Caenorhabditis elegans: one gene and its partner. Each later gene encodes a partner of the first gene's protein in a complex. Each region holds a gene or a part of one and is shown on either strand. Other genes may lie near its edges.

What was found. The genes of interacting proteins can lie anywhere in the genome.
Region 2: arx-1 (region 1) and C46H11.3 share a complex: the UniProt entries of both Caenorhabditis elegans proteins name them as parts of the arp2/3 complex.

What each region holds. Positions count from the first base shown.
Region 1 is NC_003279.8:2,890,182-2,896,045, reverse strand, and holds the start of arx-1 (Actin-related protein 3), read left to right. Parts: upstream 1-2,327; 5' UTR 2,328-2,332; coding exon 2,333-2,435; intron 2,436-2,489; coding exon 2,490-2,632; intron 2,633-3,302; coding exon 3,303-3,413; intron 3,414-4,578; coding exon 4,579-4,740; intron 4,741-4,784; coding exon of another isoform or gene 4,785-5,600; intron 5,601-5,864. Other genes in the region: copa-1 (Coatomer subunit alpha), read left to right, coding at 1-144, 207-484; Y71F9AL.6 (Protein PBN1), read right to left, coding at 4,785-5,600. UniProt on the Caenorhabditis elegans protein: Functions as ATP-binding component of the Arp2/3 complex which is involved in regulation of actin polymerization and together with an activating nucleation-promoting factor (NPF) mediates the formation of branched actin networks.
Region 2 is NC_003279.8:5,039,204-5,043,359, forward strand, and holds C46H11.3 (putative actin-related protein 2/3 complex subunit 5), read left to right. Parts: upstream 1-2,166; 5' UTR 2,167-2,288; coding exon 2,289-2,361; intron 2,362-2,440; coding exon 2,441-2,556; intron 2,557-2,600; coding exon 2,601-2,852; 3' UTR 2,853-2,889; downstream 2,890-4,156. Other genes in the region: lfe-2 (Inositol-trisphosphate 3-kinase homolog), read left to right, coding at 386-736, 1,467-1,562; C46H11.7 (ShKT domain-containing protein), read right to left, coding at 2,992-3,131, 3,178-3,606, 3,650-3,724, 3,774-3,849. UniProt on the Caenorhabditis elegans protein: Functions as a component of the Arp2/3 complex which is involved in regulation of actin polymerization and together with an activating nucleation-promoting factor (NPF) mediates the formation of branched actin networks.

The DNA.
Region 1 (5,864 bases):
ACGCCGAACTAGCTGCCTACTTTACACACTTTGAGCTTCAACCAATGCATCGTATCCTGACACTGAGATCTGCTATCAATACTTTCTTCAAAATGAAGCAAATGAAGACTTGTGCATCACTTTGCAAACGTCTATTGGAGCTCGGTACGTGCTTGCGTTGTTGATTTTTTTAAATTTTATTTCTAATTCTTAATTTTTTTTTCCAGCTCCAAAACCAGAAGTTGCTGCTCAAATCCGAAAAGTGCTGACTGCCGCCGAGAAGGATAACACTGACGCGCATCAGTTGACCTATGATGAGCATAATCCATTCGTCGTGTGCTCTCGTCAATTTGTGCCTCTTTACCGTGGACGTCCACTCTGTAAATGCCCGTATTGTGGAGCATCGTACTCTGAAGGGCTCGAGGGAGAAGTGTGCAACGTGTGCCAGGTTGCAGAAGTTGGAAAGAATGTTCTTGGGCTCCGAATCTCAACTCTGAAGAGCTAAAAGTTGTGAAATATGATAATTTTTTCGTTTTTTGTGTGATATTAATTATTGTAATTTATTTGCCTTGTTCTTCCACAATTCCCATTGCTTTTGGTCCCTTCATATTATTTTCCCGTTGGGCGGCGGTTCATGTTTTCTATTTAAATTATGTGTTTTTAAAAATTATTTAAACCCCACAGAAAGATTATGATTGCATGCTGGTCTATTTTATTTGAATAAATCATGATTTTTTTACTTTTTTTCATTTATCTTTGGGGTAAGAAAATGTTCTCTAAATCAGTAATTTACATGGAGAAATTTGCTCGAAAAAATTCAAAAAAAATACAGTAAGAAAATTGTCGTAAAGTCTAGGGTTTTGGTATTGCGGACTACGACAAAATGCACACAAACCATTTTGGCACCGGAAAAAGGCAAAAGCCAGGATTTTATCGCGTTTTGGCTCATTTTTCTTGCAAATTTCCATGGAATTCAGTTAACATATACCTAATTATTCAGTTATTTCGAATTAATCAATAATTTTCAGTGAATTTCGCAATTTCTAAGTGGTCCAATGATGTCTGTCCACATATTTCCTTGAAAACTGATTGTTTTATCGGAATTTATTGATTTAAAATAATATATATAATAAAATCTGAATTTTAGAATCATTTTTGACGTGGAAAAGACCCGAAAAATCCAAAAATCACGAATAAACTGAACAATTAAGGTATTAATTTTTGATCCCCCACCCCCAGTTTCTCAGTTTCTCAGCAAAGGATTAAAACAATTGTTCTTCTTCTTTTCCCCCTACAAGAATTTCCTGTGAATTTCAATCGTAAAAATATCGATTTTCTGTTTATTCTTTGGATGAGTCACCGCACTCGCCGATTGTTTAACTAGTGCAGTTCGGCAGTTTTACGTTATTTTTTCACGATTTTTTGGATTCTGATCCTCTAGGTGACTTGAAAATACCGAATTTCATATCGTAATATGACAGAAAAATTTATGGCGGTAAAAAAATGCGGAAAAATTTTCTAATTTTAACGGAAAACTCCAAAAAGCCGTTGGAAAATGATTTTTATTTGATATTGGCATATTTAAATAATTTTTATCCTGTTTTTTAGTGGATTTGGATATTTTAACCCGATAGTTATGTATAACGGCTTAAAAATTGCCAAAATCAGCGAAAAAACGCGAGAAAAATCACTTAAATATGGAAAATAGAACAATAATCAAATAAACCCGATTATCCAAGCCAAAACTGAGTTTTTTTTTTCGCATTTTTGAACTTCAAAATTTCGAAAAAATGGGCTATTTTTAACGAAAATCCCCAATTTTGCAATTTTTTCGTGTCACAGCCGTCGGAAATTGATTTTTATTTGATTTTTGACACATTTGAGTGATTTTATCCTTTTTTTTTCGTGGATTTAGGTACTTTTAGCCGATAGTTACGTATTGCTAAAATACTGGCTTAATAAGTAGCTAAATCGACGAAAAAATATGTTTTAAAAAACCAAAAATGGCAAAATTTTACGATTTTTGCTAAATCTTTTTTTTTTTTGAAATTTTAAATCGTCATAAAATTATTTAGCTAAATTTTTGTTAAACATTTCAGCGAAAAACTCCATTTTTGCCAATTTTTTGTGTCACAGCGGTTGAAAATTGCGTTAATTTAGGTATATTTGAAGCCAAAAAAGGAACAAAATTAATTTATTTGCAAAATTATCAATTTCCGGCTTAAAAACGCTCCAAGATTGGAGATTTCAGCGGAAATTAGCCCATTTTTTCGAATTTCTAAACCGCTAGACTGAAATTCCGTCTTTTTCTCCCATTTAAAACAAAAAAAATCCCAAATTTTTTGCAGCAAGCATGTCGGCCCATCAACTACCGGCATGTGTGATCGACAATGGAACGGGTTATACGAAGCTCGGATATGCTGGGAACACGGAACCTCAGTTTATTATTCCATCTGGTTAGATTTATTGATTTTCAGCCTATTTTTCATAAAATCCAGTGAATTTTCCAGCAATTGCCGTGAAGGACAAGGTGGCGAGCTCGAATTCGCAGGCGATGCGCTGGAATAACCGAGTCGGAGCCGGGATAGACGATCTTGATTTCTTTATTGGAGATGAAGCTTTGTCGCCGGCCGCTACGAATTATACTGTCAAAGTTCGTAGTTAATAGACCATATTTATGCTCCTGATGTCAAATATCAATGTGAAATTTTTTTTTTTAATTCCCAGATTTTATATAATTTTTTAAAATCCAAAAATCCTAATTTTAAATTTAAACGACAAAATTTTGCATGATAACCGTGCCGCAGGTGTGGATTTACGAGATTAATATTTTTAATTCATTTTTATTTAATTTTCACACCGATTTTCCCGTTTTTTCGTTGTTATACATTGAAATTCTTGGGATTTTCATAAATTTATTCATAAATTTACTTTTTATTAATGAAAACAAATTAAATTACAAGAAATATCGAACTTTTGCTGAAAAAATCGAATATTTCACGTATTTTTGTTGTTTTCATTAATAAAAAGTCATAAATTAATGGAAATCATGATAATTTTAATGTAAAACAAGGAAAAATCGGGAAAATCGGTGTGAAAATTAAATAAAAATGAATGAAAAATATTAGTCTCGTAAATCCACACATGCGGCACGGTTATCATGCAAAATTTGTCGTTTCTGAATTTAACATTTTGGACTTTTGGATTAAAAAAAATATAATTTTTTATAAAATCGGGAATTTTATTTTTTGAATTTTTCACATTGATATTAGGTATCAGGAGCATATGGAAAAAATGTTTAAAATTAAAATTAAATTTTTTAGTATCCAATTCGGCATGGAATCGTCGAAGACTGGGATCTTATGGAACGATACTGGGAGCAGTGCATTTTCAAATACTTGAGAGCCGAGCCAGAGGATCATTTCTTCCTTTTGGTACGGGAGAGAAGCAGAAAATTCGGGAAAAAATGCTCTGGAACAATATTTTGGCCACTTTTAAAAGAAAAGGGGGTCGAAAATCCGTTTTTTTAATAGAAAATATCCTGTAAAATGGATGTAAATCGGTGAAAAGCTATATATTACAGAAAAAACACGTGAAAAGTGATAAATTTCGATGAAAAAAGCTTAAAAATCACGAAATTTTGCAATTTTTGACTCTAAAATTACGGTATCCGGTCTTGACAGGACAATTTTTTTGGAAATAAAGCATGTGATACCAATTTAAAAAATACGTAAAAATTTTGAAAAAAACGGGAGAAAAATCAAGGAATTTCCCCCGAAAACTCCGGTATTTTTAAGCTTTATTAATTAAAATTAATTAAATGAAAAATCTACATTTTTTCAAAAAAATAGCAAAAAAAATTTTTTTTCGTATTAAAATCCTAATTTTATAGGAAAAGCTGTTTTTTTGAAGATATGGCTTTAATTTTCTATTTAAAAAATCGTTTTTTTTTTCTGGAAATTTACAAAATTTTGTTTCTAATTTTTTTTAAAGTAAGGGTCCCGCCACGATCTACCTGAGCTTCAACTTTCAGGCTTAAAGTTGGTGTAGTCGAATTTTTTTTTTGCTTTATTAGAATCAAAATTGTCTAAAAACACCGAATTTCATAATGAAACTTCTTGAAAAAAAACAGTTATGACGGTTCAAAAAATCGGCTAAAATTAGTTAAAATTTGAAATTTGGCCTTTTGAAATTACCGTCAAATTTTAGATATATAAGTTTATTATCGTGCGTTTTCAACTCGATTTAGGTATTTTAAAGTCGGTGGACTTGGAGATTTGGTAATAAAAATTTAAAAATCTCCAAGTCCACCGGCTTTAAAATACCTAAATCGAGTTGAAAACGCACAATAATCAACTTATATATCTAAAATTTGACGGTAATTTCAAAAGGCCAAATTTCAAATTTTAACTGTTTTAGGCCATTTTTTTGGAGCCGCCATAACTTTTTTTTTGAGAAGTTTTCAATTCATTATGAAATTCGGTGTTTTCAGACAATTTTTGAGTCTAATAAAGCAATTTTTTTTTTAAAAATCGACTACACCACCTTTAAATAGCGAATATTAGGCAGTTTTCCACGAAAAAATTTGAAAATTTCCAGACGGAACCACCACTCAACACTCCGGAAAACCGAGAATATACTGCTGAAATTATGTTCGAGTCGTTCAACGTGCCAGGCTTGTACATAGCCGTTCAGGCCGTCCTAGCGTTGACTGCCAGCTGGAATTCCAGAGAAGCCAACGAGCGAAGCTTGACTGGATTGGTAGGAAATTTTTTCGCTTTTGAGAAAAAAAAATTTTTATTATTTTATTTGTCACTTATTAAATAGCCAAAAATGCAAATTAATACCAGCAAAAACATGAAAAATATAATGAAAAACGACAATTTACACATTCCCGACAATGATGGATACTTGTTCCCGTCTACTTCGGCTTCTCCTGCAACTGCAAAAAAATCGAATTGCTCCTCACCATCAAGCGCTCCGAATCCCAAAATATCCTCATCGAAACTCGAAACCTCGCGGAGCAACACAGGCAGCTCTTGCAGCCAGAAACTTCCAGTTTTCCGTGGATCTTGCTCCAAATGCGTCAGAAATAGATGCCAAATTTGGCGGAATCTCTCCTTTTCGGCTTGTCGGCGGTTCGCATTTTCTAGCTGCTCATGATCTTCGGCTTCAGCGTGGAAAGCGGTTCTGAGTGCTTCTTCGTCGATTTTCGGGATGTACGCAGAAATTGCCATGTCGAGTAGAGAGTGTGGGAGACTGAGAGGGACAGGGAGAGATGACGTGGATTCTGGTGTACCGACGACGATCGATAATGTTTTCGAGGTACCTGTGTACCATCTGCCGTCTCTGCTAGCAATTGCATAACACGCAAGAAAAACGCCAAAAATAATGTATAACGTATTTATTATATGAATATGGTAGATTTGGTATATATGATGTATATGATATATGGGAGATTTGGTATATGTGTATATATGGTATATATAATATATATGATATATCTGGTGTATGGTATAAATGGTATATGGTATATATATATGATATATATAATATATGGTAGATTTGATATATATGATATCTACGGTCGATAATGATCGATAATGTTGCCTGTGTGCCATCTGTCGTCTCTGCTAGCAATTGCGTAACCCGCAAGAAAAACGCCAAAAATAATGTATAACGTATTTATAATAGGAATATTTGCTATATGGTATATATGATGTATATGATATATATGGTATAAATGGTATATGGTATATATGATATATGGTATACATGGTCTATGGTAGATACGGTATATATGATATAAATTGTATATATGATATATATATGGGATATGGTATACATGTTATATACAGTGCATTTTTTTCCACTTCTACGACTTC
Region 2 (4,156 bases), 2.1 Mb from region 1:
GTATGTGAATGGGTCTCGAACCGGCCGTATATATAAAAATTAAAATGTATGCGCCTTTAAAAAGTACAGCAGTTTCCACGGTTCACTTTAAAAAATTGCAAAATAGAGAGGTTTGAAGACTACAGTTTTTTTAAAGGCGCACACTCGTTCATATTTAAATATGTGATCGTGTCGAGACCGGCTACTCTATTGTTGAAGTTTTTGGTCCTTACTTGGCTCAAATTAGAGCTCCAGCTGTGTACCTGACTTCCGCAGTGCTCAAAGCTTTAATCTTTATAAAACATATGTTTTTCCATCCAATTCATGGGTATATTTAGAATTCTAAATGTTAACATAACAAGTTTTCTTCAAACCCTAAACTCTTCAACATCGCATTTATTTCCAGAGGCTCGAAGGCGCATTGGAGAAAAACTTCAAAAAAGTACGAACAGTTGAAGATGTCACAACTACATTTATGGACTTCTTTGGAACTCAAAGAAGCCGTGTAAGACAACAATTAATTGAACGACTGAAATCAATGCGAAAAGCCATCGAACATTCATCATTCTTCAATTCACATGAAGTCGTCGGAAGCAGTATTCTGATTGTTTTTGATACGGAAAAAGTGGGATGCTGGATGATTGACTTTGCAAAGAGTTCACCGGTTCCTAATGGACGAACACTAAACCATCGGACGACGTGGATACCTGGGAATAATGAAGATGGGTATTTGATAGGAATCGATAATTTAGTCAAGGTAAGCTTGGTTTTCTTAGAATTTTTTATTTAAATATTATTAATGTAGCACCTTACTATTAAACTCAGTTGCCTTTTGTCCTATACAAAAATTGTTAACGGAAAAATATTGGAAAGTGTTTCATATTGTTTTAAAATTTTTTAAAGCAAAAATAAAGTAGTGGGATTTAATACTATTAGAGAATATTCGGTAACTAATATAGATAAGAGGTGCGGAAAATCAATTTATATATTTTCAAATTCTTGACACTATATTTATTTTTCTTTTGAATTTGAGTTTATTTAACTAAAAGAAGAGAAATAAACAAATAAAACGAGACGAACCCTAAAAGAGTTCAACTCGAGTAAAAGTTACATAAAAAAAGAAAGAAAAGATAATAGGGAACAGGTGAAACGGGGAGAAAAACGAGAATGGAGGTAAAAGTGTAGTTATAACCGGGGGATGTTGAGATCAATAAATTCACAGAACTGATATGGGGACATAAAAACCGTAACATTTTTGAATAAATTGGAAAAAATATTGGAAAGTGTTTCATATTGTTTTAAAATTTTTTAAAGCAAAAATAAAGTAGTGGGATTTAATACTATTAGAGAATATTCGGTAACTAATATAGATAAGAGGTGCGGAAAATCAATTTATATATTTTCAAATTCTTGACACTATATTTATTTTTCTTCTCATAAATTTTAAATGTTACCAAGTAGTTGAATTATAATTCAAATATTTTCAGATTCTCGAAGAACTCCCCGAGTACGGAGAACATCCTGATGACCAGTTAATGGTCACAGAGGAAGTGATTGCCAGAATGAAAAATACGAAATCGTAGAAGCTTCTACCTCCTTGGATTACTGTAGATAGATGAAAGTGTGTGTCTCTTCATATTCCGCCATAATAATTTCTGTGATTCCCCACCGCTCCTCCACAAAATCCTCATCCGTGTACAATTTGCTATTATTCAATTTTACACCCCCTCCAGCCAGTCCTTGTTTTTGTTGGTTTTTTGAAAAAGAAAATAGATTTTTTGAAAAAGAAAATAGATTTTCACTTTTTAATCTATCGCTTTCCCCTTCTCTTTTCCTTTACCATGGCATAATCCCTAGACTTTCTTCTTACTTTCAGTTGTTTTTTTTGTTCCATTGTGTACGATCCGAGTAATGGATTAATTGATTGGGTACAATTTGTATATTTTTATTCTCAAATGAAGAGAAATTTTTGAAATGTCCAGTTGCAATTTAGATCCAAACAACAATCTATTGAAGTCTTTGCTTTAAAAGCTAGAGCAGGTGCAATTGTTCCCAGTGCATATCGGCCGATTGCCTAGTGAAAAGTACTAGGCAAAACAAAAAACTTATGGCAATTATTTGGGGATTAAAAGAAAATTGTTCAGAAACAAGAATCTATGAAATTTGGTATGCAGCAGAACAAACGTTTTCGAATTTCACAAAAGAGTGGACAATTGGTGCTCTTATTCAAAATTTCAAAGAGACTTCAAAAAAGCTTTCTTATATCATTTTTTAGGTTTTCATTCAGAAATGTTTTTCTATTGTAGATAATGTACAACACTGACTATAAAAAGTACAATGTTGATATTTTTCATCCAGCTCATTTTGAAGATATTCAGGAAGGTTAGTCAATCTGAATTCAATAATTAATTTTTGAATAAATAATAATATTTCAATAAATAATTTTTGAAAATTTTTTCAGAATCTGCAGATTGTGGGCCAAATGTGCAAGAGGTTCGGCAATTTCTGGAGTCAAATCGACTTGAATATGCTCTTCAATCCGTTCTCTTAAACCCACCATTTGGTCATTCTGAACAGGTTTTATTTTTTAATGTCATTTTGCAAACCTCTTTCCCTTTTAGGAACTCAAGAACCGTGCTGTTCTCCTTGTGGCCGAGGTTATTCATGCATTTCGACAGACCGATATTGAAGAATCAGTTCACAAGCTGTCAAATGAAAATGGAGACATTCTGATGAAGTATATTTACAAAGCAATGCAACTATGCTCTGATTCTGCCACGTGTCTTTCTCTACTATTGTGGCATTCTCAATTGGTATCAAAATTTGGGCAGGGATCCATTGTTCGAGTGTTGTCCAATCGACAACGTCTCTAATTTTTTAATGAAGGTACATGTATCTGTTAATTTCTGCAATAAAACTCCAAGATCCAAAGTTTTTTATATGAAGAAGTTCAAATTTACAACAACCAAATATATTAGGAAATAAATAAAATGATTCAAGAAAAAATGAAGATTATCCAGAAGTGCAGAATCCGCAAGTGAGTGGGCATTGAGCTCTCATAAGGGTTGCGTAGGCAGAATTGGTACAGAATGCACGACGGTTTGGACAATCGGAGACTCCTGTAGCTGCGTTGACTTGGTCAACACAGGTGGCTGAAAAGTTCAGACATGGAACGTTATGAACAATTATTAATCTTACTTGAAGCTGTTGTGGAGGAAGATGAAGTTACGGTAGAGCTTGAGTTACATCTTCCACAAGTTCTTGGGCATTGTTGAGTCATGACGGCATAGTAGACTGAATCATTGCACAAAGAAGCTCGTGCAGTACAATCAGAAACTCCGGTGGATGGGTTTACAAGATCGGCACAGCTAGTGGAGCTTGTGGTAGTTGAGTTACAACGACCGCATGTTCTTGGACATTGTTGAGTCATGACTGTGTAGTAGGTGGTGTCGTTGCAAAGATAGGCAAGTGCTGGACAATCAGAGACCCCGGTAGATGGATTGAGGCGATCAGCACACGAAGTTGTAGAGGTTGAGGTTACTGTAACTGCTGAAGCAGTTGTGGTTACTGTAGATCCATCAGAATCTGTTACCACAGCAGCAGTGGTTGAAGTCACAAGGGGAACGGCTAAAAATCATAGGTCACGGTTGAAAGAACCTTGTTGACTTACTGGTTACAGGACAACATTGACCAGCTGCCACATCACAGACCTGTGTCTGGCACACAAGAATGCCACCGTCACATGCTGAAATGAAACAACTCAAACTCTAAAAGTAATGGCAGTCTTTACTTACGTCCTTCAGATTCAGAAGCTTCGCAAGCAAATGCAACCGAGAAAATGGCAAATGAAATAATGAATTGACGGAACATGATAGAATGATGGTTATAGTTCTGCAGCAGTTGCTTTTATATTGTGAGATACTGTCCATCTGTGCAAACAGTTGTCTCTGTTACATTTTTGGAAACAGAATGACCATTGTTTTACATGGAAAAGTACCTGGATTGAAAGCAAACATTTCAATCCTCTCTGCATAACAATTGCTTCAAATTTAGTAAAATGCCCCTCGTAATTAACAAAGGAACAGTTATGATTGAAAGATTTTTATGAAATCGATCCTTACTTTCACGCAGTTCCATCCAATAAAAATATAATTTTAAAGTTTACCATTCTGGGAAA